4 linked regions of the Rhinolophus ferrumequinum genome follow. The protein of the gene in region 4 binds, or shares a complex with, the protein of the main gene of each other region. Links are inferred from orthologs where the notes say so. Each region holds a gene or a part of one and is shown on either strand. Other genes may lie near its edges. The genes, in order: CNOT8, CNOT7, CNOT10 and CNOT2.

Region 1 (6,926 bases), on a different chromosome or scaffold from region 4:
AGGAGGATGGGAAATGGCGGCTGAGGGGGTGCAGGTTTCTCTCTTGGGTGATGAAAATATTCTAAAATCAATTGTGATGAGTGCATAACTCTGTAAATATACTAAAAGCCATGTAAATGTACACTTTTAAATGGATATGTTGTATGGCATGTGAATTATGTATCAATACAGATTATTTGTAAAAAGTGTAAGAACAAATACAAATAAGTCCCCTTAGCTTCACTAGCAGGGCACGTGGTCAAAATTTTGGATGTTTGCCATGCTCATGGATGAGAAGTAATATTTTATTGTAGTTTTAATTCACATTTCTCTTTATGGAGGAGGTTCAACATCTGTTCAATTGAAAGTCCATTTATATTGATTTCTCTTTATCATATACTAAATTCCCATATATATTTTTAGGTGTATGTCTGGACTTTCTAATCTGTAATATATGTCTGCCTATTCATGGGCTAGCCACACACTTTTAATTATTAAAGATTTGTAATAAAATATGTAGTGGGATACTCAATAAAGTCAACTGTCCAGCAACTCAAGTGCCCGCCCACCAAACCCAGCCACTGTCGCAGGCTGTCACCTTCCCAGAAAAGTCATGCGTTATTTCAAATATGTAGAAACACTTTAAGTTTGTTGCAAAAACACTTAAAAAGAATACCAAGAAATGTGATAAAGAAGAGACTGAAAAAGTCCTGGGTCACAAAACCGGTAAGTGACAGACACGACGGAGAGATGGCCTTGAGAAAGGTATCAGATTTTGAGGCTCCCTGTCTTAATGATTTCTACCTGTAAATATACCTGTTGTTTGAATCACATTGAACAGCTTGCAAAATGCTTCGATTTCAATCGGCATGACAGATCCAGGCCATGTGTGGTAACCTGACTTCACAGAGGTTAAGGAAGCTGTCTAAGTAGGTAGGGGGCAGAGCCCTGGCTTCTGTCCTGGTTTCTTGGGGCCACGGGTTATTGGCAGTTAGGGAAGAGTGGGGGGTCCGGGGACAGAGATTTCTTCTGAATGAGACAGGTCGTTCTGGGGCAGAGTGAAGCTATTAAAAAAAAAAAAATAGATTTGTCACAGACCATACCTGAGAAAGCCAGTTCCAGGCAAAGTCCCCTTGCCAACCCCGATTCAGAGTAGCGATGCCCAGAGCAATTCAGTCGCTGGAGGTGGGGCCCAGGTGGTTTTAATGAGTAGCCAGCTTTAAAAATCACAGCTAGCCATTCCCCTTGACTTTCCTATTCCCTTGGTTGCGTGTAAAAATGACATCCAGACTCAACTGTGCTTTCTTTTTCCAGATGAAGGGAGAAGCTGGAAGTAAGCTACATGATGAGAAGCCTAAGCAGGTAAATGCCAGCACCCCACCCACCAAACTGGTGAGAATTTAGCCAGTGACTCTTTCCATGTGTGCGCTTGCTGCATTTGCTGCACATCTGACATCTCCCCCAGGGTTTAGGGGTAGCTGACACTTTGGTGATTTGCTCATTTCAGTAGCTGAGCTGAGACCACTTGACCCCAACCTGCTTTATAACCAAAGCCCCTTTTTCTGCACCACGGAGCAGCCCTGCATGAGGGTAGTGGCAAAACCCAATAGCTGTCCTGCCACGGTCTCTTGGCCCTTAGAATGTCCCATGCCTTGGGCCTTTGGAGCCACACCTTTCTAGCACTGCCCTGGGGACAAGAGAAGCCCACTGGGGGCTGGGAACCAACTCTTGATCTCAGCTCAGCTGCCTTCTGCATTGTGAGCTCCCGCACTTCACAGAGGTCTTTGTCCTGTGTATAGTCCTTTCACTTGGGGTGCTGGAGGGAGAGAAAACACCATAATCCCTGAAAAAAATCTAATCCTGTATGTGAAATTGAGGATTTCAACTTGACTTAGCTTGATGTGATTAAACTCAAATGAAAACTTCCTAGTGAGTTTGGAAAAGTTCATGAAAAGGGTCCTCTGAATCCAAGAAAAGGAATAATTTCAAAAGCCCAAGGTAACCTGCCTGACAAGCTTGGGGTGGTGACCTTTGAATGGCCTGTGTAAGAGAACAAGTTCCTATCGGCCTGTGGATCCAGCCCTGAGGGAGAGGGAGGGAAGAAGCGGGGAGGAGGGAGAGGGAGAAGGTGAGGGACAAGGGAGAGAGAAGCTCATTTCTAGATCTCAAGACCCAGATGAACACCAGCCCTTTAAAAACTTTCCACAGGCCATGGAAGATGACCTCCTTCTTTTTGGTCTTTTGATCAAGAGTAGAACAGGCCAGGCCAAGAAGAAATGACTCAGTGCAGATTCAGGCTGCTCTGAATGGGTCAGTCAACACAATCTGCTCCTTCAGATCTCAAACGTCTGGGTTAAAACGTAGTGTCTGTGCTGTTTGATCAGCTCCCCTCGACACCACCCCGACACCACCCCGACCCCTCGTAAGTGGCCCAGCTCCCTAAATACACGTCAGCCCAGCACAGAGCTATAAGCACCGCCACCTCCAGTTCTGTCCCATGGAAGAGCCTGAGCAGGACGGCTTCCTCTGGGCTTAGAAACAGGATGGGAGGGCCATTTGTAGTTCCTGTCCACGGCACAGGGAAACCCGTGACTCACCTGGAGGCCAGTGTTTTCCTTCTCCAAGTCTGGGAGCTCGTTTGAGCACCACACTTGCAATAACCTCTACTTTAGGCTCTTGGAGGAGAACAGAGAAGGACCTCCCAGCGACTGCCAGTGGTCTGTTCTTTGCCCTTAGAACCGCTCATCGTCCTGTCCAGTTGGCTGATCTCGCTGGAAGGCAGAGGGATCATTAAGAGGCAGAACATGTGTGTTCATTCACTCTTTTCTTCACGGGCAAGAGGGTGATAGGGATGGGAAAACAGGCCAGGCTCCTGAATACAATGAAGTCCCTCTGTCCTCATGACGGATTCTGCAGGTTCTCTGTGATGGCTGTCTCAGCCTTGCCTGCCCATTGGAATTAGCTGGGGTGCTTTTAAAAACCTGGAGGCCCAGGCTCCACCCCAAACACTCTATGTCCTTGGGCTGGGGAGGGACCTGGACTCCTGGATTTTTAAAAAGCTCCCAGGTGATTGCAATGTGTACATAATTGGGCATCTCAGTTCAACAAGAAGACAGCTGATGGAAGGCTGGGCGACAGACTTACCTGCCAGTGTCTCTGGAGCCAGGTTGGTTCCTTTCCCTCTCCCAACCTTGACCTCTCGTTTTCATAAACACACCCATGTACAGCCCTAGAGCTCGTGATAAGGACGAGCCTCCCACAGAAACTGGGAAAAGGTCACTGACGTGCAATGCTCGCGTGCTTGAGGTCCTGACTGCTTGTCACACCTGTCAGGCCTCAGCTGTGAGCTGTGAGTGAAGGCAGGAGGCTAGCTGGGACCTGACACTTTCTTATCCTCCCCAGGAGGGACATATCTGGGGCTCCATGAGGAAGACTGCTTTCATCCTGGGCTCTGGCCTTCTCTTGCTTGTGGCCTTCTGGAACTCAGTCACATGGTGAGTCTGCTCCACCAGCTTGAATTCAGCACCTGGGGACAGTGTGGTGGTGGTCTGGGGGCAAAGCGTGAAGTAAGGGGCTGTCCGCCCATCAATCTTCACCCAGAAACCTGATTGATTTTCCTTTCAAGGCATCTTCAGAGATTTTGGGGTGCTTCTGGCCACTTCTGGCAAGCTGAGTGGGAGAGGTTGCTGTCTACATTTGAAGGAAAGGAGTGGATCCTTTTCATAATAGGTGAGCCTCCCAGACCACCAGGGCTTAGGGTTTGCGTACGTGATCATAGTTTAACTCTTTTTCTATTGTTCTCTACCTTGGGACTCTCAGCTCATTATTACAAGGAATAAGGATTTAAAGTTTAAGACAGTGTAACCCCCAAACTGCTAAGCTTGTGGGCAATCTAGAACAGACGTCCAAGGCTATCCAAGAAAAGAAGTTGAGAAATGGAGATCGCCCTCTCCCCAAAAGTAGAAAAATGAAAACAAGAAATAGTTTGTGTGAAAATAAAGGCATGTTTCAAGCAGTAATGCTGCTTCTAGATGTCAGGTCCACAAGCGCAGAGAGCCCTTGTATGTCATGCGAGGCTGTGTCCTTCTACCTGGTGCCATCTAGCTTTGGAGGCTGGACAGCAAGTGGTCACTCAGTATTTACTGACAGCATGAATGGCTTGAAACAAGCCTAAGAAAACATAGTGGAAGCAAAAGCCATTTCAACATATTTATAACAGCATTATCTACAATATTGACTGTCCTCAATCATACATTTATTCATTCAAATGATATTTATTAATGTTACTCTGTGCCAAATTTGTACCGAGGATAGAGAGATGTTTAAGATAAAGTGTTAGTCTATCCCATCAAAAAACCACGTCACAATCTAAAGGGGGAGATAAAAAAGGGTCAGTTGTCACAAAGCAAAAGTACAAATAAAATGTCCCTGACGATTGTTTTCAGCTGGAAGGACAACTCTGAAAATTAAATATAAATAGGTTCCATGCAATCTTAAGTAGCCATTGAAAAGAATAATGCCGATTGCAAATGTATATAGGGAAAGTGGCAGGAAAACATTCTATATACTCCTGTTACAGTGATGGGAAAACTATCTGTCACCAAGGTGATAAGAAAATATCAGAGAGAGAAAAGTATTTGCAATTTTAAGTGTTAGAGCTTGAAGAAAGTTCAAGACCATTTTTTGTGGTTTGCATTTTGTGTTCCTCAAGGAACCCTTGGATTTCCTAGTAGGCAACCACAAACCTAACAATTTAAAGTGTGTTATGTCTGAACATAAAAGTAAATGCGTGCTCACTGTTAAAATAAAAACCAGAAAATTCAAATAAGCATAAAGCTGAAAAAGCACCCCTTCTCTCCCATCCAAGAAGTAAGCACTGTTAATATATTAATACAGATCTTAAACTGGATATATGGTTGAACTTATAAGACACCAAATTTTTTAAAACTTTTTTTTTCGTTAAATATATTGTGGACACTTTTCCATGTCAGTTAATATAGATTTACGTAACATTTTAAGCTGCCCAGTCCATTCCAATGTATGTAATTACTCTCATCTATTTAGTTCATTTCCTACTAGTATCCTCTGGGATATTTGTGCCAATCATATTTCCCCACAGTGCTGGCCAAGTATTTTTCAGGAATCAACTGCCACAAGGCAGTGTGGTGATGGAGGAGGGACACAGAGACACAGAGTTAAGTCAAATGTCCTTGTCCCTTGGATAATGAATTAAGAGGAGGGAAAACATGGACAAAGAAAGTTAATAGTACAAGAGTTACGTAACATTGCGATGTCACTTGATTAACTGCCAGTTGGGGTGGACAAAGTGCTTGTTTGTTCACAGTAGGACATCAGCGATACTTGGAATGACTTCATGGGAAGATGGGATGTGAGGCAAAAAGCTCTCTAAATGTCAAGTCTTGATCGGTATTTGCTAATACATCCTGCAGAACACAGTGCTGTGGGATGACCATATAATACATTATCCAAATAGGGACATTTGTGAGAGTAAATGAGGTGTTAATAATTATACTGGAAAGACAGATGTCAATCGACATAGTCCTGGGCAAACAGAGATGCATGGCCATCCTATTAGGTATTCTGAGAAAAGAGTTCTGGGGTTACAAAAAAAAAAAAAAAAAGCCTGGGAAAGGTTGAGTTTAACAAAGTCAAACAGTTTCTTTGCTGCAGGAATTCTCAGAGCTGTTAACACACTAGTCCCGACCATGACTCTGCAAGACAGTATGGTAGAAAAGCTGTTTAACCAAGAAGCCCCTTGAGAGAGAGTTTCCTGCTTTGGGAAATGCTGACTGGACACCTGAAGTCACACTGCTCAGTTAGGAGGATGACAGGCAGTAGGTTCCCTGACTGACTCCTAGTTCAGGGCTCACTGTGAACCATAACATACAAAGCACTTCCTTTGCTTCTCCCTTCCATGGAAATTCATAAAGGATTCAGTGGGTACGGACTTCCAATTGTCAACCTAAATTCGTTTCTATTTTAGAGCATATACTTTTTGGGGGTCTCCAACCATCTAGAATATTCTTGTCCCCCTTTTACAACTAAGAAAATAAGTAGAGACACTCCTTACGTGACTGTTCAAGTTCCCCCAGCTAGTTTGTCATCTAAGACTAAAAGTAGATCCCCTGGCCCTGTGCACCAAGACCTCCGTGGCAAGGGACTGTCCCCAGTGCCGCCTCAGTTACCATCAAGTGTGTGTCCAGTTAATCCATGTGCTGTGAGAACCTGAAGTCACCCCGATTAAACAACCAACCTTCTTCTGCTTTCCAACTTTAGCTGCCACCCAGGTGCCCAGTTTGTGCTTCTGGGGCTTAAATGGGCTTCTACTGGTGGTTGACACAACTGGGAAACCCAACTTCATCGCCCGCTACCGAATTCAGGTTGGCAAGAATGAACCGGTAAGTTGCTGCAGCAACTCCTGGTCAAAGCCCAGAAAGCAGGAACTAAAGCCACACTCAAAATTCTCATCACTGGCCCCTGAGACTATGGCCAGGGTGAGCCAAGTTATGGTGTACAAGGCTCCCCTGCTTTAGAAGGTTAGGGAGGAAGTAATTGGGCCCAAATCTCAGAGCCAACCAGCCAAGACCACTGTTGTGGACCCACGCTGTCGCTGCCTGGCTACCCCCCAGCACTCTGGTCAGCATTTTAGGAACAGAAATGATCGGCTCAGCCTGGCAGTGGGCTGAGTCCCGAAGATGTCAGGCAGCTCCACCCTCAGGCATGGGAGCAGGGACAGCAATGGCCGGATGCTGAAACCATGGTGACAGCTGTCATGAGTGACGGAGATAGCTGTGGAAACAATGGTGGACTCCCTATACCAGATGGACAGTACGGATTCTGAATGTGTGAGTGGTGGTTGTTTTCCAAGCAGGTCCTCCTTCCCAGTTACTCAATTCAACCAATCGTACTTAGTTTATCCCTGATAA
Region 2 (7,665 bases), on a different chromosome or scaffold from region 4:
CTTAAATATTCGTATTTCAACCAATCAACCTTCCCCTTCCCACAGAGCATATTTATTTATATTAAAAATACTGGGAAAAGGATACATCAGGAAGCTAAGAACAAAATCTAAATACCAAGTTATCATAAAGAGTAAAAAAATGGAAACTTCTCTAAATTCAGTCCAACTCAACGACTTTATTGGATGCTAATATGTTATGCTAGATGTCAGAAGGACAAAGGATGATTAAGATACTAACCCTTTGCTTCACAAAGCTGATTATCTAGAAAATGGTAGAGTGGCTATAACAGATGTATGAGATACAGTAGTAAAGAAGCAAAATAATTAACTGAGTAGACAGTCCAGGCAGATTGAATAGTATATGCAAAAGCAGTGTGTTCATGAAACTCCACTGATAACTAAAATAAATTAAAAAACCAAACAAAAAACTGCAGATCAACAATGTTTCACTGGGAAGCTGATTTTTTTTTATTTGAGAAAGACATCCAAGAGTTCCCTAGCTTACAGGAGCTCATCTGGTACTATCAGTTAGGCCTTAGTGTTGCTAGGTGCTGACCTGGCACTCATAGCTAGGTCCTAATGTTCTTCTGTCCAATATAAACAATTTCACACTTCAACACCAGACAAGGCCACTCTATTACCATAACTAAAATAACAAAAACATAACTGTTGCTTCTTTATAGCTTTAGCTTCACTCTCATCTTCTCTCAATGTAGTTAAGACTTAAGATACCCTATCATATAATTACCCAGCTTTATGACACTATCCAATCCAGAGCAAAGTCTGGCTTCCTTCATCCCTCCCTAAAACCACCTGACACAAAAGTCCTTTTTAACACAGTCTTATTCAAATGCCCCCAGATCCTCCAAAGGTATGCGTTTTCCCTCACGCAGTGAGTAAATCAACCCAACTTGTCACATTACAGGTGTGATCCAGGTGGTCTTTGGTTGGAGGATACTGACAATTTTCATAATAAAATCCATGGGAAAAAAAAAATCAACCAGAAGGGCCGAATTCAAGACTTTAAAAATCCTTCTTCCCCTTTTATAAGAAGTATTTTAAGGATATTTGATCACAGGCATACCATAGCAACGTAATTGTATTTTCGGATAACTTGACGTATTTTCTTCATCTCTTCATCCAGGTTGCAAGCCCAAACTTCACAAATTCTTTGGCTATGATCTACAGTTGCTGCTGGCATAGTGAGGGCACAAGAAGTCTAGCTGCCAAGCATCAAAATATTATATTTGATTGAAGATTTGTTTCATAAAATACTTTATCCTTTATTTGTGTACCTGTCATAATAAAAACCAAAATAAAACCCAGCTGTATCAGAAAATGAAATTATGGAATAATTGAGTTGACAGAAACCTAAAAGATTATTTATTCAAAGTCTTTGATTCATAAGAAAATCAAAGTTTGGGAAGTGACCTTTCTAAAGTCACACATCTAATCAGTAGGAAAAAAAGGACCACAACACAAGTTTCCTGGTTCTAATACCAATGTTACGTAAAAATAGTATTTTTTATGTATACATACTAATCATTTCTTAAAACTTTCCAATAATTACAGACTGCTGTGACTTCAACTGACTCTCTGAATAAAACTTTGTAAAGACATCCATTTCCAGACAAAATATGAAAGGTGAAATACTGATATACATGTGAGACTATCAGATGCTACTAGGACAGAGATAATGTCTGCTTTTATTCCTCATTAACAAAACATTCAAAATCTGTTTTGATTACAAAATCTCCTTTACTGGCATTTATTCAAGCCAGATTGGAGGGGACAAAAGTAAACCAACAAAAAGCTGTAACAGATAGCCACAGAGACTGAATGTTCATAACTGCAGGAGAGAGAAAGGAGAAAATAGTGTGTCCATATTTCAAACTGTTTCTAATTTCCTAAAACTCAAGAGCATTTTCCCTGGTTACCAAACATAAATCTCAACTCTCTGGCCCATAAATACTGGTCGCATAGTATATGATGATAAGAGTACAGACCAACATTTTGATTCTTGAGCAAGGAAATTCTTCAAACAAGGAGTTTGAAAAAATTTTAACAAAGGTAAAAGAGGGAATTACACTACTCCCCCTTCTAAACGCTGCAGTAACAAATGTAACCGAGTGCTCTAAGAGCCAGGGGAGTTCCCTTTTATAACCCTGTCCACTACGCTAAACACACACACACACACATTGGAAAGAAACACACACACACACACACTTTGGAAAGACCCTATTGTTTAACATTGCTTTACTTCATCTCTCTCTACCACGGTTCCAGAAGCTCCGATGAGGCACCAGAAACCTTCTCATTACTGTAGGTAAAGTCTCCGTACTGCAGGCTCCCAAAGAAACGAGAGAGGACAGTATAGAAGCATTCAAGTCAGTTAACTCCCTTCCCTGGCACAGAGCCAGCGCGAAGGTGCTGATAAGGATTCATTGGGGCCAGACTGATTCCCAAGCACTGGTGCGCGAAGGAATACGTGGAGCTAGCTGTGCATGAAGGCCACCGCCCTCCACCCCCAATTTCCATCCCACAATATCGAAGCTCCAGGTACAAAGCCTTTACGTCATCACTCCGCGCCAACTCCTTGACATACCCCAGCCCCAGTTACCCTCCCCCGCCTCGGCCCGCCGTCCAACTCAGTCCTTCGCCAGCCAAGCTCCAGCTGGCGCCATCGCGCACCCTCTCAGGTTCATCGTCCCCACCCCCTTTTTACTTCCCCAAACCGCCCCTCCCCCCGCAGGTCTGCGGCAGACGCAAGATCTACTTGTGTCACTGAGCTCGCGCTCCTCCTCCTCCTCCTCGCCATAGAGACAGCACCCAGCGGCGGTGGCGGTGGCGGTAGCGGCGGCGGCGGCGGCGGCAGCGGATGCCCCATAGACACCGCTCGCCCGGCAAGGGGGAAAGGGGAGCCGGAGCTGCTCCGCACCGTGCTGCGCCGTCGCTTCTCGTAACGTCCTGGCGGGGGCGCTAGATGATGACGCGACACGCAGAGGGGGCGGGGCACGCAGGTGACGGAGGCTGGGGTGGTTAAAGCTCTGGGCTGTGAAGCTGCCTGACTGGCTGGTTTGGCGTCAGGGCCGCCAAGGTAGGGCTGCCTGTTCCGGGCGGCAAGTTTCCTCTCTCCAGTTACCTGTAGTCATAGCATACCCCCCAAAACCCGAGGACCCCCAGCCGGGCTTGCTTAGAGAAGACGCGGCCGCCCAGCACTGGAGCCCCGGCCTCCGGCGCCTTGGTCTTCTGTCGCTGGAGAACCACCGGGCTGAGTAGCTGGGAGAAGCAGGCCAGAACAGTCTAGGGCCTCGGGCCCGGGGACCCGTGGAGGATGAGCTGGCTCTTCCCGCTGACCAAGAGCGCCTCCTCCTCCGCAGCTGGCTCCCCCGGTGGCCTCACCAGCCTCCAACAGCAGAAGCAGCGCCTGATCGAGTCCCTCCGGAACTCACACTCCAGGTGACTGGTCGCTGCCTCTCGGACAGGAGGAAAAAGTAGGGCAGGAGGGCGGGCTGGTCCTAATCACACTCACAGTTTCTCAGGCCGACTCTCCAGCAGCTGCCTCATTTTGATCCACCTCCCTTCGTACTAGGTCTCACATTTGCTCTGCCATCTCAGACCTATGTTCAGGATTTTTCCTCTGGACCCTCCAGGTCCCTCCCTCTTGCTCCAACACTGCTCAGCTCTTCTAATTTTGACTTGTTCATTCCTCCTGACACATCGCTGCTGACTAATCTCTTTTATGGTTTACATCCAACATTCCTTTCCAGGTTCTTCCTCACTAATCTTTCCTTTCGCCTGCTGATTGCCGCTTTAGCCAAATTGTTAAAATAATCTATTTGGCTAAAAAGAATTGTGACGAATAATATCCACGTTTCACAAAGAGTGGAAAATTTTTGGGAAAAAAAAACTGCAACAGCAAAGGAGAGGGAAGCCAAAGTTTTTATCAGCGAGTTCTCTGGGAGAAACATACTCAATCCTCTTAAGTCTCTAATTTAAGATTCACGCTGTTCCAACAACGTCCTTGTATCTGGCAACTACCACTCTGTACATTCCTCACTGTTTCCACACTCAGGAGTTGTCTTATATTCATCCTGACTGCTCTGTTGTCTTTTATGAGTTTTTCATTTTCTTCGTGGTCAGATTAGAAATATTTTGCAATTCAAGTGATTTCAGTTGTTTTTATTGTAATCTGGTATGGCTGCCGCCTTTTATATTGCACATATCTGTGGCCTCTAATGGTTTTCAAAAATTAGAACTGCCTCTTTATATTATATGAATTATGCAAGTATATGTACTTAATAGTGTCATAACATGTATTTTAATGTAAAGATGTTAACGTCGCTCAACTATAACCCTTTTTAAAATAAACTATTCATACATTTTAAAAATATATATCCTGAGTTAATAAAATCGACTAAGTATTGAACTATTAGGAGCCATTTTATCTGTTACATTAATATTTTCCCAAGCAAGTAAGTTATAGTATAGAATAGTTTTAAATTAGATAGTTAAAAGAAAAATTCATTGCAAAATCAATTTCGCTAAAATAAGGCCTATTGCTGTCTAAACTTCGGCTGTTTCTTGGTTTTTTTAGCCTCAGTTGTTCTGCTTGTTCAGAACTTTCAAAAGATGAAAATTTGTGGTATTTAACAGGAAGGAGTGGTATACTCTTTGATCTAATGGTGGCTTTCTATTTGGAAAATTGAGTTCATAGAGTTCTTAGAAGTCTTCTAAACAGTGTTCCGCACTAACCTGTAAGAGCTACTCTCACAAGAGATGCTTCATTTTTAACAAACATAACAAAAGTTTGTCCTCTTAAAAAGTGTCACCTTAGAAGACTATCTACTAAACTAATACTACTATTGCCAAAATACTTCTTAGAACCACACCTTTGGAATTAATTGTTTTTAAGCCTTTAGTATATTGTGTTAAATATTGTCACTGCTGGCAAATTTTTGTTCTTTGAGGTTGGAGTGGAATTTTTGAAATATTTCAAGTCCTTTGCTGCTAAGGCTGGTAAATAGGAGAAGTGATCAATTTGGAATGTATTATGTATTTTTTTTTGACTTCCCAAATAAGATTCTAAAACAGGAATTGCTAATCTAAGGAGTTCTGGAATTGGTAAGAGCATCAGCTCTTGAGTCAAATGCAGAAAGGATCATTTGCAGAAAGGAACTGCTCTTGAGTCAAATGCAGAAAGGATCACTTTTATTTCTTGAGCCAGAAATTTTGGACATATAATTGATCATGTGACATTATCTACATATTTTGTAATGTTATAAACATCTAATTTTAAGGACTCTTTCTTCCTTTAAGTTCTTTTATGAAAATAGTTGAACTTTTATTTTATTGAAATGTTACACATTTATAAACTAAACTTGGAATTCTGGAGATAATTAAGTAAGTAGGTCATATACCTCCAGTTTTCAGGGAATGGTACTATTCCAGAAAAAATGATATCCACCTATTTTGTTAAATCTGCCCTTTTAACTCATGACATACATTTTAAAGCTAGCTGGTAAAAATAATCTGTGCAGTATACAATTTATATTTAAAGAATTTTGTATAGAAGGACACTGTGTGCTTATTCTGAAGGTACACTCTAAAAGTTGAAAGAATGTTTTGAATGGTATTTTATTTTCATGAATATTACAAAAACTTTCTAAATTATGAATATCAATATCCTGTTTATGCAGCCCACCTCCCTCAGTTATCATATCTATCCCTGCTCCAAAGGTAAGGTCAACAGCTCTTTTCTGCCAGTGAAAGTATCTCATTTTTTTTTTGCCTGCCCTCAAGAACCTTTTCCCACCCCATTCTCTCTCATCTATTTTCCAAGTCTTATCTTTCAATTCCTTATAATGAAAAAAATTCCACTTTGGGAAAGAGCTTGTTTAATTCCCTTTCTCTACTAAATGTAAACTCCTTTTTTTGTTACCTTAAAAAATTTTTCCTCATCTCCCTCAGGACTCTTCTAAAGGTTAGCTAAATTTTATGTGTATTTCCTCATCTAAGTCTTACTGGAGAGGCAGGGCAAATAGGAAACTGTCATATGACCAAAAAAAAAAAAAAAAAAAAAGTGTTTAACCAAAGCACGTTTGCTGTAAAATGGAAATTGAAAGTTATATAGATTAGGCTCTAGTAATATATTCTGCTTTCTGAATAACAGTCATCATACTATGTAATTTACCACCTAAAACTCCTGACTTTCTGGGCAGGAGTAGAACTTAATTCTGTTTCTACTACTTCCTAAAGAAGCTCACTCGAAGGGAGCTTCCCATTCATATCCATTTCCCCTGACTTCTTGAAGAACACTTGTTTTTATCTGGGTTCTGGGCCTGCAAGACCACATACTTATTCAATGGAGGCTATGCTCTTTCAACCGCAGAAGGTAAATGATTGTTTATGCCAGTGATGGTGGTTTCATGCCCTGTGTGTGTTACTTTGAAAGCAGGACTCTTAACCTTGGTCAGTGGGAGTTGAAGGAGAAGTCGAAGTCTGCTGCGGAGCTGCTCAATATGTTTTCTCAATAATACAGATGTCTAAAAGATGTTTCTCTTATGTTTTGGATATTGTTGTCATGTTGGGACATCTGGAACTGCTTGGATCAGGAAGGAATACAAGCTGACTGTATTGACTGTGGAAGAGTAGAAAGATGGAATGCCTGTGCTAATATTGTGATGCTGAATTAACCAATTCTGGGACCTTCCTGTCTCTGGGCTTCTTGCAGTGTAAGCTTAATAAACCATCGCTCGCTTCGGCAGCACATGTAATAAACCGTCACTTTTTTATTAGGTTGGTGCAAAAGTAATTGCGGTTTTTGCAATTAACCTTTTAAACTGCAATTACTTTTGCACCAACCTAATAGCTATTTTCAACCTGGAAATATCCCAGGTGACACTAATCCCAATATTTAAAGATTCTTCAGAAGTGAAGCTGTTAAGTATTTCCCTGCATTGCCCCTGCAATCAAGAAATATCAAAAACTAATAGTCTTTAACAGTTACCATCCTAACTGTCCTGGTTTCTTCTCTCACAATATCTAAAGTTAATTAGCTTATTTTTATTACTATTTTATTTCCTTAGTTGGAAAACCACAACCTGGAGCTATGTTGTAAATGGTACTTATTATCTGTAATTAACTATGTAAATTCAAAGTTATACAAATAATCCTTTATTACCTTTTACTTAGGGAGATTAGCTCTCTCAAGTAAAGGATTTCTGCATTCATTTTAATAATCAAGTACATGGTAATTCTGGTGCTAATTTTATTTTATATTCAATAAGAAAATCTAATTTGTGAGTTAAAGTTTATCAGAATTGCTTTTGTTTATTTACTCTGGTATAACTAATAGTCTTAATGAAAGAAGCCCTGAACCAGAAGTCAGGCGATGCTGACGTATATCATTAACTAGCAGTGAACCTTGGATGTTCACATAACCTTAGGTCTGCTGAGATGGGAAGATTGACTACCTGAATTCTTAATGCCCTGCCCGGCTGTGAAAGTCCGTAGGTTCCTCAGGTTCCTTGATAAAAGACAAAATGAATTTGAGCAACATAAGTAGAAGTAAGCAAAAATACTGACGTTGGGAAAAGCAGCCTGACTTAAGTGAATGAAAGCTTTGTAATTAGACTGTCATGGATTTCAATTCTGGCTCTAATA
Region 3 (7,723 bases), on a different chromosome or scaffold from region 4:
TGTCAGGTTTAACAAACAAGGCATTCAAAGCAGCCATTTGTTTTGTGTCTCAGCCTGTAGACAGTGATGCTATTGGCTAGAAATGTCTGGGAGCACTCACCATTTTCCTCAGTTTTGAGGCTGGCCCAGCCCAGTGGTGGTTATGATGTCAACAGGCCTCTCAGCAGCAACCATCAGGAAATTTTGAAATAAAAAGGTTTATGACTCATTAGTCCTGGAGAGTACTCAGCACACCTAGGGGCCACATACAAGGTCACAGTAGAGACAGAGAGCATGGACTAGGGGTTCTGCCTTTATGGGGGTTGGGGATGAGGTGCCTAGAGTTTTGTGGGTTCATTCTTTATTGGTGAGTTTAAAACATAAGAATGGGAATTAAAGTGTGAAGAGGAAAACAGGGTCACTCCAATACTAGCAAACTGAATTCAGCAACATATAAAAATTATGCACCATGGCCAAATGAGATTTACCCTAGGAATACAAGGTAGGTTTAACATCTGAAAGGCAATTCTTGTAATAGTATAATATATCATATCAATAAAATGAGAAACAAGAACCACATAATCATTTCAACAGACACAGAAAAGCATTTGGCAAAATCCAACACCTTGTCATGAAAAATACACTCAACAAACTAGGAATAGAAGGGAATTCCTTAACCTAATAAAGCACCTACAAAAAATCCCAAAACTAACAAAATATTTAAATGTAAAAGACTGGACGCTTTCCCCCTAAGATTTTTATTAGTTTCAGGTGCACAAAACAATGTAATAGAGATTTCACCCCTTCCCCAATCTATTGCCCCACTGAAGGATGTCCCCTCTTTCTATTTCTATTCAAAAATGTACTGAAAGTCCTAGCAGGGAAATTAGGCAAGGAAAAAAAAGGCATCCAGATTGGAAAGGAAGAAGTAAAACTCTCTCTATTTGCAGATGATATGATCTAGTATATAGAAAGTCCTAAGGAATTAACTGAAAAACTGTAAGACCTAGTAAACAGGTTCATCAAGGTTGCAGGATACAAGATCAGTATACAAAAATCACTTACGTTACTATCTACTTATAATGAACAATCTGAACTGACATCTGCTGACACATGCTACAACATAGATGAATCTTGAAAATATGCTAAGTGGAAAAAGCCAGTCACAAAAGGTACACATTGTATGGTAATTCTCTTTATATGAGATATACAGAATATTTAAATTCTCAAATGGTCAATTTGAGACAGAAAGCAGATTATTGATTGCCAGGGGCTGGGGGTTAGGAAGAATGGTAAATGACTAGTAATGGATACAGGGTTTCTTTTGAGTGTGATGAAAATGTTCTGGAATTAGTGGTGATGGTTGCACAACTTTGTGAATCTACTAAAACACCCCAAACTATACTCTTCAAATAGGTGAATTGTATGGTATGTGTGAATTATATGTCAATGTAGCTATTTTTTTTAAAAGGATGAGCAAGGATGAGCAAAGAAGCTGGTGAACATGAGAATATGTCTAAAACACATATACAACAACAACAGCTAAATTAGGGGATGAAAAGCATCATAGAATTAATATAATTATTGGGGTTGTGTGCTCACACACAGAATAATTTTAATTTCAAAAAGATGAAGAACTGCAGTTGATGAAAACATATTGAATATATAAAAAGCCATAAGTTCAGAGTAATTTTTTGAAAAGGAAATAGTTCTGGAGATTGCTGGAACATCAAACTTATTCCTCTGAAAACTGATAATTATAGGGAGAGGACTAAACATTCATCCTGCCTTTCTGTAAACTAAATTTCAGTGTAACCAAATATCCCTGTGGATAAGGAAAAGTTTTTCAGTACAGAAGAATTCTAGGTAGGGCTGGGAGTAGGGTAAACTGAGTGGGTGCCTAGAGAATGAAATTTAAGAAGGCACTCACATAGCCCTGATTCTAGTTAACAAATGCATGAATATCCAAATGAGAAAATTATTTCAACCATTAGTGAAATAACTGGTTCAGACAGTGGCCATTAATGCTTCTAAAACCACTAGGAGAAAGGCTGATAGAAAACGGATAAAAATCAGGCTGTCACTATCTGAATCCAAGGATCAATGTTAACGTCACAAAAAGTGAGACAACCAACCTTCTGTGCCTTCTAATGGGGTTGCAGAACGTACACCTAGGAAGAAAGCACCACCTAGGAAGAATTCTCAGGAAAAAATTTTTTGACTCATAACATAATCAAGCCTTTAGAAGTAACCTGTAGTCCACAGGAAATATTGAGCATAAAGGATGCAGTCACAAGGAAGCGATATGCCAGGGATCTTATACTGGATTCTAATTTCATCAGTAAGTCAATGTAGGGAATAATAAAAGGGGAGCGAACTGTTCTAGATTAAGAGAAACACAAGTAAAATGATCTTGCTTGATCCTGATTCTAAACAGAAATTACCCCCCAAAAAAAATTTACACTGTAGAGGTAATTTCAGTATGGTTTGGTGATTGAATGATATTAAAGAAATATTTTGAATTTTGTTAGATGTGATAATGGTATTGTAAGAAAATACTTGGATATTGCTTTTTGAGTTGCATGTCGAAGTGTTTAGAGGTGAATGATATGCTATCTGGGATTTGCTTTAAAACACTCCAGCAACAAAACATAATAAGGAGGACGGGGTAGATAAAACATGTATATGGTTAAATGATGCTAGGGAATGAACACATGGGATTTATTATACTTTCCACTTTTGAGTATGTTTGGAAGGTTTCACAATAATATTTTCCCAAAAAAATATGGGTACACCTTTATTCCAGAGAAACTCTTTTAACTGTTCACAGGTTTAAGAGTGAGCTCAGCAGCTGTGTTTGTAAAATGAAAATTGGAATTGACGTCAATGTTTGTCAATAAAAGAAGAGATAAATAGAGGTAATGTGACGAGGTTGTCTGTCAGCAGCCTTTCCCAGTTCCTCCCGTTTAATAAAATTCTGATTATATTTATTCCTCGCAGGAATGTTTTGTGGATGCATCATGATAAAGCCAAAACATGCATCGGAATCTCTTTTTGCCAGTAATTGCCTCGTGGTGGGCAGGCAACCAATTTCACGGATGAGATCTTAGGGGACATTTTGGTGAGAGGCGTCTAGGAAAGATTCACCATACTTCTTTGATTCTAAGACACAATATTTCTGTCATCTCTAAAATTGGCAGGCTTCTCACAACTGATAGCATCTCACAATCACTGTCTGACAGATGGCTGTTGTGTGTTATGTTTGTCATTCCCTGTGTATGCACGAGTTTGATCTGAAAACCTACCATTTGTGACATCTTCTGGTAAGATCTAGAAAGTGCCAGAATTAAAACCTGCAGAATGGGCCTTCTTGAGACAACACTATGTGAGGAGATGCTGTAGTGCCAGTGGTACTGAAGTCTCAAATGATATAGGCATTAATTATCTCACTGATGAGAAATCTGCAGGTAAGCTCTTCCATTGCTGAATCAGTGACTCAGCAATGCCAGGATGCAGTTCGACATTCCTGGGATTCTTTCTGTTTTCCCCAGTGGGCCCAAGATAATTGCCACAGCTCTGAGCATCATGCTCTCGCCTCACCATTTTCAAAGCAGGAAGGGGGAGAAGGGGGCAAAGATGACGGCTCTGTGACAATGTGGACAGGCCTTGAGAGTATTATGCTAAGTGAAATACTCATATGTCAGACAGAGAAAGACAAATACTGTATGATCTCTTATATGTGGAATCTTAGGGGGAAAAAAGAGCTTATAGATACAGGGAACATATTGGTGGTTGCCAGAAGCAGGAGAGGGGGTGAGGAGCACAATGGGAGCAGGTGGTCAAAAGATACAAACTTCCAGTTATAAAATAAATAAGTCATGGGGATGTAATACAGAGCATGGTGACTAGTAGTACTCTACTGCATATTTGAAAGTTGCTGAGAAAGTAAATCATAAAAGTTCTCATCACAAGAAAAAAAATATTTGGAACTATGTATGGTGATAGACATTGTGGTGATCATTTTGCAATAAATACAAGTATTGAATCATTATCTTGTACACCTGAAACTGATATAATGTTGTATGTCAATTGTACCTCAATAAAAAAAATTAGACAAATTAAAAGAAAAAAAGAATAGCCTAAGAAGACATGACGCATTCAATATAATGTGGTATCCCATTCCTGGAACAGAAAAGGAACATTGTTCAGAAAATGGAGAAGTCCCCCCGTAATAGTAATAGTACGGATCAAGGTGGTTTTTTGGATGTGACGGATGTACCATAGTAATTTAGTAACTAAGATGTTCACAACAGGGCAGACTAGATGGGGAGTATACAGGAATTATGTATCATCTTTGCAACTCTGTAAATCTAAAACTATTCTAAAATAAAACGTTTTGTTTTTAAGCGGGAACCGCAACAGTGCTTTCTCACAGAGTTGTGAGAAATCAATGAGAGACTAAAGCCAAGTGCAAGGTTCAATGCTTAGCACATAAATGTCAGGTGTGGTTATTGTGATTTTATGTAAAATAAGGAACAATTGCTTGGACACTTAAATATTTTAGTCCGGATAAGCAAAAGGCAGTGGCACGCAGGCCCCTCCCACCCTACCCAGCACATACCCAGAGGCGCAAGCGCGCGCGCACGCGCACATGCGCAGTGGGTGGGGTCGGGAGGACGCCAGCGTGGGGCGGAGCCAGCCACAGTTCCCACGCCGGCCGCGGCCCCCGGAAGTAGTGTGTACCGTGACTCGGGGTGGAGACTGTAGAAGGCGGGATGCAGTGGCGAAACCTTGGTGGAGACGGTGCTGCAGTTGCTAGACGACGTGAACCAGCCTTCGTCACTTCCTCAGCCCTCGGTCTGCCCACTCCGCTGGCCGGAACCCAGGGGCCTGGAGCAGGGGTGGGCAGAGTCGTCCTCAGAGGTCCAGGATAGCAGCCAGCCGGGCAGCTGGAGTCGAGGCCACGCCACCTGCGGGGAAGAACTCAAGCCGAGGCGGGAAGATGGCTGCAGACAAGCCTTCAGGTAAGGCGCCCGCGCCCCTCTCGCTGAGACGGCGGGACACGCGAGGGTGGGCCAGCCCTGCGCGCGGAGGCGGCGGGGCCCGGAGTGAGGACTAGGGGTAGAGGACTCGAGGGCGACTTTAATTTGGGCGTGCATTTCTCTCCCCTCTCTGGTCCCAAGGCCGTCGCTGAGGTCTGATAGCTTTTTTACCCAAGTGCAGCTACTGACCGCTTTTGCCCAGTTTCCCAGACTATCGCTGGCTGAAAAAGCTTGCATTTATTTGGCCGCTTCACAGACTTTTTCGATTTCCTAATGGGGATGGCAAAGCAAGGAAAGTTCACCCTGGAGCAAGCACACAGCTGCTCAGGCTAAGACTCACCTGGGCTGTTTTGGCCTCATCAACCTGCCTCTGGTCAGGTACATGCTATGTATAAGCTTCGTGTAAACCACTTATTTAAATAGACATGAAGTCATAGTGTGTGGCTCTGGTCTGTGCTCTCTAACATCCTGCGTTTAGAACCTGTTTTCCCTAGTTCCTCATGACTAGCTAATTTGATCTCATTGATTTTGTTTATGGATTACTGCCCTATTCCTAGAATCTTTTTCATTAAGGAATATAAAATTATTTCCAGCCTACCTCTGGGACGGTGTGGTGTATGTTTCCTAAAAGAAATTAATGTTCTCTGTGGCATCCACAAAGTTGGAAGTGGTCAACACTTAGACTTTACAGTGAAATTACTAAAAAAAAAAGGAAAAAAAAACTCAGTGTGCTGTAGGTTGTCCTAGGTCCGGATCTTAGTAACTGACAGATAAACTTGAGTTGATATTTTAGTGAGTCCATCCTAATACAAGTACAGATGAATAAAATTGGTAGAGAATCTCTTCAGTAATCAGCTGAAAAGAAAAAAAACAACAGAAAAAAGGTTTAGAAAGTTGAGGCTAATGGAGTGTGTTACAGAAGTTTAGATAGGCCGGTCAGGGAAAGCCTCTGGTGAGGTGACATTTGAGCAAACAGCTGAATGAAATGAGGAGTAAACCATAGGGAATGGGGGGGTAGGGAAAACGCTTCAGGGAATAAGCCTGACCTGCCCAAGGCTGGACCAGGGGAACCAACATCTTCATTCTTAATGAAGACAGTGTCTCTCTTCACCAGATTTGCCATTCCATACCTACTTGCCTATACCATTGCACTTGCCTGGAATGACCTTTTTAGGCCTAAAGCCCATCTAATTTTCAAGTCCTTCCTCAGTCATAAAGCGCTCTTGTACTTGTTCATTCATTCATTCGCAAAGATTGAGTGCCATGTGTTGCCTTAGATGTTGAAGAAATGAATATGACATACTCCCTGCCCTTGAGGACCTACTGTTCAGTCTGCCAGAGACACATCTAATGACACTCCCATTCAGTACAAGCTATGTAATATATCTAGGAGAAGAATAAAGTCCACAGTGACTTGTGGGCTGTTTTTTTTTTTTTAAAGATTTTATTGGGGAAGGGGAACAGGACTTTACTGGGGAACAGTGTGTACTTCCAGGCCTTTTTTCCAAGTCAAGTTGTCGTCCTTTCAATCTTAGTTGTGGAGGGTGCTGTTCAGCTTCAAGTTGTTGTCCTTTCGATCTTAGTTGTGGAGGGCGCAGCTCAGCTCCAGGTCCAGTTGCCGTTGCTAGTTGCAGGGGGCTCAGCCCACCATCCCTTGAGGGAATCGAGGAATCGAACTGGCAACCTTGTGGTTGAGAGGACGCGCTCCAATCAACTGAGCCATCTGGGAGGCAGCTCAGCTCAAGGTGCCGTGTTCAGTCCTAGTAGTAGGGGGCAGAGCCCACCATCCCTTGCGGGACTCGAGGAATTCAACTGGCAACCTTGTGGTTGAGAACCCACGGGCCTATGTGGGAATCGAACCGGCAGCCTTCGGAGTTAGGAGCGGGGAGCTCTAACCGCCTGAGCCACCGGGCCGGCCTGCGGGCTGTTTCTTTGGTTGGTTTAAGTTTATAGGCCATATTTTAGGAAACTTCCTATCTTGATAATAAGGTTGAATTCTGTGTTAAGTGGGTGAGAGTTTAGTGTGGCTCTCTTGAATCTCTCTGCTCCTCTCCATCCCCATTTCAATTGTACTAGGTCTGGCCTTTATCTCTCATTGTGATCAATTTCACATTAAGCAGCCTCTTGACTGATGTTTGTCTCTTCCTGTCCAATCCATTCTTCTTACTGCTGCCTTTTCATTTTATTTCTGAAACACTAATTGGATCATACCATTACCCTGCCTATAAACTTTCTAAGACCTTACCATCTTTTGTGCATCAAAACCTTACTCCTTAATGTCATTTGTGAGGCTCTTCACAGTCTATTTCCAGCTGAAGTTTTTATATCAACACATCTAGCTCTTCACGCCACAAATGACTCTCTTGGAAAGCATTGTGTTCCTTTGAGCTTCTGGGTAGTAATGCCCTTTTTCCTCTTCTGTGTCTGAACACTCTCCTCATTCAAAATCTAGTTTATATGCTCCTTCATCTCTGCGCTCCTGGGCCCAGGGCCCTTTTCATAGAGGGTCTTATGTGTTTGTTTTTCATTAGGTAGAAAAAAAAAGCCCATGAAAGAGTTTAGGAAGGTAAGTGACCTGACCACGCTGGCTATGGTAGAGGGTGAGTTGAAGTGAAACAAGACTGGAAACCCAGACACTAGCTAAGACTAGCTAATGTTGTCATATTTATATATTCAGTAAATATTCACCAATGGCCTGCCCT
Region 4 (7,934 bases):
CTCCTCTCTTAGCACTAGGTTCCTTGATATCAATACTATATGTAATTCTATTCAAACATTACAGTGCAACTCAGATTAACTCTGCCTGTAAAACTGCCCTACCAGGTACCTTGGTTTCTTTTGCTTCTTTGTGTTACAAAAGCCACTCGAGGTCTAGGTAACAAATAAAATCTTAGTAGTATCTTCTAAGACTATCACTATTTGCATAAGTTGTCCTCAAATGGCTATTCAAGCAAGCACATGGAAAAGTTTGCTTGTACATAATTCTAATAGAATGAACTTTCTACAGTTAAAATAAGACAAAAAATACTGTTGAACATTGCTTTTAAAGAGCAAAAAATAGTTAACTAACTTCTTTTTACTACTCTATTAATATCTGCTCATTTCATACATAGACATGAAGCATACCTTTTCTTTATTATCAGAAAATCTTATGAAGCAAATTTGTCACTAAGGAGGGTAAAACTGTAATTCCCACAGGTTGTGAAAAATTCTGTAAGGCTCTTTAAAAAGTATTTTTAATACCAGTATCTATGAAGAGAGAAAAACCAAAACTGTGTTCAAAGAACTTCTAATGAAATCTACTCATGAATGTATTTATTTACTTTGAAACAAACAAGGTTGTAACTGTAAAGTATCTCAAAAATCAAAAAGTAAATTAAACATCCAAAGTTACTAAGTAAAAACAAAGGTAATTAGTTCTCTTGGGGAGGCATATTCTGAGTTTAATCAAGGTCAAGTACTTTTCAAAAAAAGGGGATGTAAATCACTTATACATTTTGCCCTCATTTTCCCACCATATAAATTCACTTTAAAACAAAAGTATTACAGAAACTGAAAAATTTTCAAAAGTTGTATTTGTTTGGTTAAACATACAGGCATTTTTCATTCCCCAAAAGTATCAGATTAGGTTACAGATATCTTTACCCAGTATACTTAGAATAAAAGGGTTCTGCCAACAAATGATGCTTAGGTGAATATATTTTTATTGATGCAGCAGCACCAATTAGGATGCAAAAATGTGAAAGTTTCTCAGTTCCTGTCTAAAATACAAAGTATTCACAGAAGTCACTGCAATTCAAGCCCCCAGGAAAGGATGAGAGAAAAGTTAACCTTTTAAAATTAAATGAGGATCTTACAAAATGGAACAGTTTTGCCTTTTTACCTGCATTTTGTATTTTTCCTTTCATTTTACGAAATTACAAACTGTTGAGTTGAACATACAAAGCTTACTAACGATCTTGATCCATTAAGAAGTATTTCAATGAAGAGAGATCAGAATGCAGACATCTAACCATTTGAATGTAGCAGGCATTTAACCATTTCAGCTCACGGTGTTTCTTAATAATCCCTTTACATCTAGGGTAAGGTTATCTTCCATAATTGCCAAAGAGATGTGTTCGTTGACGTTTGGGAAAAAATACTGTCAACTATAGCAAGTATTACCTAAAAATTCAACATAAACCTGGTATGTAAATACGTAGATCCTTTCAAATCAAAAGATGCCCTTATTCCAGAGGTCTAGAAATCCCTAATATCAAGCAAGACAGGAAATGTGTTCAACTTTGAACAAAATTCAAGTATGGCCTCTCTCCTTTACAGGTTTTGTTAATTCAGTGCCTTCTACATTTCGCAAATCATCTAAGAGTTGGTATCAGTGTACACTTAATGTTTTTATACTGATTAGAAACCATCCCGAAGATTAAGAAAGGAGTAGGATTCTGTGGCCAAGAGTTTTATGAAAATGAAACAAAACTGTTGCATTCGGTCTTCTGAAAAGTGAAGGCATCTCCTAGGATTCAAAGGAAGTTGATGTTTGGGTTCCTTCCGAGAGGGTGGTACCCGCACGTAGGACTTTTATGGTGGTAATACCATACTCACAGGGCCTGGAATAAATGCAAATTCTAAAACCTTGGAAATGCTTTTATTGAAAAAAAAAAAAAAACACTACAACTCGCATTCAAAAAGGTTCAGTCACCAAGAGTTACAGGTTTTCTCTCCTCCACGGACACAGAGCCTCAACTAAGAACTAGGAGAGCCTCTTTTAAGACCACTCTTTTCTTCCGTAAAACTTTTAAGTTAGACTCAAGACAGCAAAAGGTGGAGAGGCCCCGGCGGAAGTAGAAACCTAGGGCTAGCAACTTAACAGACAGAAGCGTCTCGGGTTCCTCCGCCGCCCAGGACTCTCCGGACTGTCTCTACCACTACGGAAGCTTCACCCTCCGGGTGCGGTAGCGGAGGAAGCATCACAGTTGCACTCCTTCCACCATCCGAAGCCTTCGGTATCCCAGGGCCTGGAGGCGCCTGAGGCCCGTTAGCCAGTCCAGTGTTCCCCATCTTTTACACAAACACACATACACACAAGTTGCAGGTGATGTTTGTGTACTGAGAGTATGTGAACAGCCAGGGACCGCGGCAGGTGATGGGAAGGCGGCAGTACTGTCTAAAGCGGGCCCGGGCTCCTTGGCCACCGCCGCTGCCGCCTTCTCTTCTTCCCCAGGAAGCGGCGCGGCGGAGGCTCCTCCGTGCCGGCGGGAGCCCGTGGGAGCCGAGTCTGGGGGAAGCCCCAGCGCCGGCCGAAGGGACCGGGCCTAGGATCCAGAGCTGCCGCTGCAGCGACCCGAGTACAGCGACGCTTTACGTCCGGTCCACCACCCTCCTCATACACACCCCCTCCCTCCCTCCACCGCCGCCACCCCCCCCTCCCCGCCCGCTCCACTCTCCCTCTCTCGATTGGAGCCGAGACAAAAGCAACGGGAAGCGGAGGGCCGGGACGCTGCCCGCAGACCCCAGGCGCGACCGGACCGGCCCCGAGGCATTCCCCTGCCTTGCGGGGGCCCCGAATCCGCCGCCCCCGCCGCGCGCCCCGCCGCCAGACTTCCGAAAATTTGCCAAAAACTCACCGCATGAATTTTCTTGTCCCGCGGATCCAAGATGGCGACGTATCCACCGCAGAGGCTGCTGGGAGCAAGACCTTTACCCTCTGACCCCCGCCGTGACCCCCGTCGTTCCGGCTTCCCTCAAGGCGGCGGCGGAAGGTGGGAGCGGCGGCTGCCTACGGGCTAGGGTTGGGGGTGGGTAGACCGCTTCCCGCGCGTTAGGCTGTAGGTGGGGAGAGGTGATTCACTTCATCACCTCCCCCTCTGCGGCCTCCACCTTGTCTCGCACCAACTCACCGGAGGCTTCTAGCTTCTCCGTGGCCGTTATAACGAGCGGGGCCTCTGCGGCCTCTACAGTTCCCCGGAGGCAGGGTTGCTTCACACTGGGCACGGGCACTGGGTGCGAGGTGGGCCGCAGGGTCCAGGGGCGGGGACTGGTGAGGTGGCATGGGTCCGCCCTCCCTGGGGATGCCGAGCGTGTTTGTGTTTGTGTTCGTGTCCGACACCCCGCCCTCCCCCCACGTCAGCCTGGAACGGGGGCCTTGCTCCCTCCCAGCACGTGAAGCAAGTTGATCGCTCTCCCCCTTTCCTCCCTCAGCCCCCGCAACCTCCGGTGCTCGTGCACGCACTTCCAGGGACCGGCAGCACGTCACCTTCACCTGAGAAGTGAGTTCCCCCTGCTGAAACCACTGGTGGCTTCTATTCACCACCCTTCTTTTTCCTTTTTAACTTGGTGGGAGGGAGCATATTGGGGAGCAGGTTTTTAAAGCCCTTCTGGGTGAGCTTGCGCCAGCAGTTAGATTTGTGGCACTTGAACTCGCCCCCACTCCCCGATCCCCACGTAGGCTCGAGTGACCGGCCGGGCTGTCTACAAGACCGTTGGAAATTACGGTGCTTGTGGTGGCAACTTCAGGAGAATGAGAAGTCTCTGCTTTCCAGAGAAGTAATTGTTTCTCAAAGTGAAATTAAATTTCTTTCTTTGAAACAATAAAGCTCTCTTTATTCTTTTGTATATTAATAAACTCTTCCCTTTTTGTTACTACGCGGCATTTTTGGACTTAAAAAGAGCTTCTGCATGTCTGTTTTGGGATTGTGTAGTTTCATAAAGTAAAAACTGTTTCTTTCTATTTTCGGTGATAGAATTTGTTAATGTAAAGTACAATTCATTTGGAGTAAATAAAATTTCTACTTCCTTTGTTCCTTCTGTAAAATCACCTTTTCCTCCCCCAAAACTCACTGTAATCCAATTTAAAATTTTATCATTGAAGGTCAAAGGGCATCTGTCAGTCATAAATAGGAAGAAAATAAGCATACTATAAAATAAAAGGTGACTCATGTTTACAGAATACAAGGTACTTTGAATTTGTAGTTTCTGTGTAAATTTATTTAAACTCCAAATGGTGCTGATGTAGCCAGTAGAAAATGTTTGCCTGGTTATTCATTTCATTAAACATTCTGCTTCACTGTGTTTTTTACTTCAGGAAAATTCAAGGACTAACACTTCTTTATATTCTTCCCTCCCTTTTTCCTCCCTTTCCCCCAGTAGTTCCTTTCTGCTTCCTAAGCTTTCTCTTCTATGTAAGATCATGTGTTAAAAGACTGACTACACCTCTATGTCATACATATATCTGTGTATTGCTGAGCCTTTTAATCTGTTAATAATTTGAAAGTATAACTATTAATATTTGGAATCATAAGATGGAATAATAAAAATGGGATACGTGGATATGTATATAGTAACATCAAGTATTACTTCCCATTTATTAGTTTGACTCACATAGAGGACTTTGTTAAGACCAAAAGATGTACCTTATTCTTAACATCCCTATATTTACTCAAAAAAGCACTAGTTTTAAATTAATAACATAAACATAGGTAAAATTGAAGAAATCACTTCTAGAAGGGGACAGGTCTAATTGGAGGTTTTGTTACCTTGGACATCTTACTGAAAGAAATAAGACAACAAACATTTCCACAGTAAATGTGTAGGGTTTATACTGATACTGTTGCTTTCTTGAGAACACTGTTTAGGATAAATTTAAGTCTTGTTGGAGAACAAGTTTTAAATTGTTTTGTCACTGGTGTCCAATCTGTTAAAATTTTGTAAAGCTTGTTTAATACCTACCTTAGAGGTTGCTTCTAAGTACTCAATGAGCTAACATTTGTTAGGAACTTATAGTAAGCACTCTGATACATTTTTTAAAATTGTCCTATTGCATGAAAAAGTTCATTTTTATTGCTAACATTGATCAAATTTGCCCGTTTGGTAGATAGGTTTTTTTTAAAATTATTATTCACTTTGGTGGATAAAACAGTCCATACCCTGTAGGTGTTTTGTGTTTGTTTGAAATGTGTGAAAGGTAAATTCCTTATGCATCTCATAGAAAAATTACTGATTTCAATAGAGAGAAAAATTCCTTATTAGGGGAAAAATGAGTTTATAAATAACTAGTTATAGGAAAGGAGGGCCTCACATTTCTTAAAAGTTGTAGACAATACTGAAAATCTTACCATGGTAAGGAATGAAAAGGACAGGTATCTCAAATTTAACAGGTACTGCACTAGAACATTTGAATCCAAACTCGTCCCATAAACAGTACCAACAGTTTGCTCACTTGCTAAGGCATAAAACTAGGAATCTTCTGTGATTCCTCACATTCTGGGTCCAACCCCTCATCCAGTACCATCAGCTCTTGTGTGTTTTCTGAGCTCAGCCACTTCTCATCACCTCTGATGCCACCACGCTGTCCAAGATACCATTATCTCTTGCACAGCAATATCCACTATCGCTCTGCTTCCACTTTTCCCTGTGCCCTTTCAGACCATTCTCTACATACCAGCCAGAGCAATCATTTTTAAAAGTTTGTAAGGCTACGCCACCCCCTTGTTTAAAACCCTCCAATAGCATCCCTTAGAATAATATCCAGTTTTCTTAACCACAGCCTTTAAAAGTGCATAATCTGCCTCCTGCCTACCTCTCCAACTTCATTTTATTATTACCCAGCCTGCCTTTCTGTTTCTGACTTGTACCAAGCTTTTCCCAGTCTGTAGCACAGACTATTATTAGTAGTCTCCTAAAATTTGTTTTTTTCATAGTAATAGACGGGGGCACATGGCTGTCCAGAATAAAGACTATATTTTCCAGCCTCCATATATCCCTGTGGTAGTTCCGGCCAATCGGATATCCGCAGATACGCCATGTGGCACTCGTCCAGAACCATCCTTAAAAGACAGCTGTTGCACACCTTCAGGCTTTTACTTCATTTTCCTTTTATATCCTACACCCTGGAAGAGTTGCCAATTTGGGCCATGGGCAAGTTCTCCCATACTAGGGATGGCAAAAAGTAAGCTGGTGGAAACCTGGGGCTTGAGACCTTTGTGGAGTACCGTACCAGTCCTGCATTCCTTACGTTCAGATTTTGATGTAAGGAAAAAGTGAACTATCTTATTAAAGCTACTATTTAGGGTCTCTTGTTCTCAATTGAACTTAATGATGCTCCACCTCAGGGCCTTTGCACTTGCTATTTTATTTTCTGTGAGATATGCTTTCTCTATGACTATATATTCTGTTTCCCTGAAAATAAGACCTAACCGGAAAATAAGCCCTAGCATGATTTTTCAGGATGACATCCCCTGAACACAAGCCCTAAGGCGTCTTTTGGAGCAAAAATTAATACATATAAGACCCCGTCTTATTTTCAGGGAAACACGGTATGACTAACGTTCTCATCCTTCAGGTCTTAATTCAGTCAGATATCATCTCTAACATGCCTTACTTGGCCACCCTATCTAAAGTAGCTCCTTTTTGCATTCATTCTCTCTCACATGACCCTCTGTTTTCTTAATAGCATTTGTAATTTGTCATTTTTATTTATTATGTTTCCCTTCACCCTACTAAAAAATGTAAGTTCCATGAGAGTAGGGACTAAGTTTGTTTTGTTCACTGCTTTATCCACACACGGTACACATTAGATAAGTAGTTACATGTGTGAGACTGAATAAATGAACCACTGAACTAATGAAATAAATCCTTATCCAAGATTAGGTAGACTTTTTAAGTAAATGTCTTGAAAGTTTTCCTTCAACGCATAATGTATAAAATCCAAGTTAGGAAGCAGCTAGGAAAAATAGTGCTAAACTAATGGAATAAATATGCTTAGCTTGCAGCTCTTGATAATGAAGATATGTACCTTTTTCTGGGAAACTTACAAGGTTATTACAGAAAAAAGATAAAGTAATTGGTGAGACAGAACGGCAAATCAAAAAGAGTGCTGCAATATAATATCTAGGGCAGAAACTCCCACTAAATAGTAGTCTGATTTATTATACTGGATCTCAGATTTATCATCTAAAATATATGTAAGAATCTTAAGCTTTGAATGGTAATATTGTAAAAGTTTAATAGCAAGTCTGACTTAGGAGCGACATAACGTGTTACACATTAATTTGGTCTTCAGGTGTTATTTTATCAAGTGATTATGTCTTGATAATACTGGCAAGGGTTCAGAGAAACAGCTTATACTACTGAGTATAAATTAGCACGTTTCTAAGGTGTGGTTTGGCAATATACCGGGGGTGCCAAAAAATACATATACACATGACTTGTATTCATCTTTTGTTATCGGTATATATTGAGTATTAAAATTTTAATAGTTTTTTCCTTTCTTAAAATGTGTATCCATTTTTTTGGCACCCTCTGTATATCAAAAACCTTGAGCATGAGCATTTGACAGGACAATTCCTCTTCTAGAAATGTGTCATAAAAATATGTATAACAATTTTATTGCAAGAGTGTTCATTACTGCATTGTTTACTAGAATATTGGTTAAATAAGCTACATCCATACAATAGAACAGTATTTAGCCTTTAAAAATGATGTGGAGAAAATTTTATCAATATGGTATATTAAGTGTGAAGAAAGTTTTAAAATATAATTCCAATTTAGTAAAAATTTACAAGTTTACAAAGGACCAACAGGATAAATACAAGATAATTCATGCAACCTTGTAGAAGTAACTGTTACAATTATTTTTATTTCATTATTTCCATATCAGT

The links.
Region 1: CNOT2 (region 4) and CNOT8 share a complex: the UniProt entries of both Homo sapiens proteins name them as parts of the CCR4-NOT complex. The link is inferred for Rhinolophus ferrumequinum from reciprocal best matches to the Homo sapiens genes CNOT2 and CNOT8.
Region 2: CNOT2 (region 4) and CNOT7 share a complex: the UniProt entries of both Homo sapiens proteins name them as parts of the CCR4-NOT complex. The link is inferred for Rhinolophus ferrumequinum from reciprocal best matches to the Homo sapiens genes CNOT2 and CNOT7.
Region 3: CNOT2 (region 4) and CNOT10 share a complex: the UniProt entries of both Homo sapiens proteins name them as parts of the CCR4-NOT complex. The link is inferred for Rhinolophus ferrumequinum from reciprocal best matches to the Homo sapiens genes CNOT2 and CNOT10.

What each region holds. Positions count from the first base shown.
Region 1 is NC_046307.1:25,681,559-25,688,484, reverse strand, and holds the start of CNOT8 (CCR4-NOT transcription complex subunit 8), read right to left. Parts: upstream 3,007-6,926; 5' UTR 2,577-3,006; intron 1,342-2,576; coding exon of another isoform or gene 1,294-1,341; intron 1-1,293. UniProt on the Homo sapiens protein: Has 3'-5' poly(A) exoribonuclease activity for synthetic poly(A) RNA substrate. Its function seems to be partially redundant with that of CNOT7.
Region 2 is NC_046287.1:72,513,085-72,520,749, forward strand, and holds the start of CNOT7 (CCR4-NOT transcription complex subunit 7), read right to left. Parts: upstream 3,007-7,665; 5' UTR 2,777-3,006; intron 1,296-2,776; 5' UTR 1,202-1,295; coding exon 1,085-1,201; intron 1-1,084. UniProt on the Homo sapiens protein: Has 3'-5' poly(A) exoribonuclease activity for synthetic poly(A) RNA substrate. Its function seems to be partially redundant with that of CNOT8.
Region 3 is NC_046300.1:18,102,067-18,109,789, reverse strand, and holds the start of CNOT10 (CCR4-NOT transcription complex subunit 10), read left to right. Parts: upstream 1-4,713; 5' UTR 4,714-4,981; coding exon 4,982-5,003; intron 5,004-7,723. UniProt on the Homo sapiens protein: Component of the CCR4-NOT complex which is one of the major cellular mRNA deadenylases and is linked to various cellular processes including bulk mRNA degradation, miRNA-mediated repression, translational repression during translational initiation and general transcription regulation.
Region 4 is NC_046293.1:66,019,826-66,027,759, reverse strand, and holds the start of CNOT2 (CCR4-NOT transcription complex subunit 2), read right to left. Parts: upstream 3,022-7,934; 5' UTR 2,909-3,021; coding exon 2,904-2,908; intron 1-2,903. UniProt on the Homo sapiens protein: Component of the CCR4-NOT complex which is one of the major cellular mRNA deadenylases and is linked to various cellular processes including bulk mRNA degradation, miRNA-mediated repression, translational repression during translational initiation and general transcription regulation.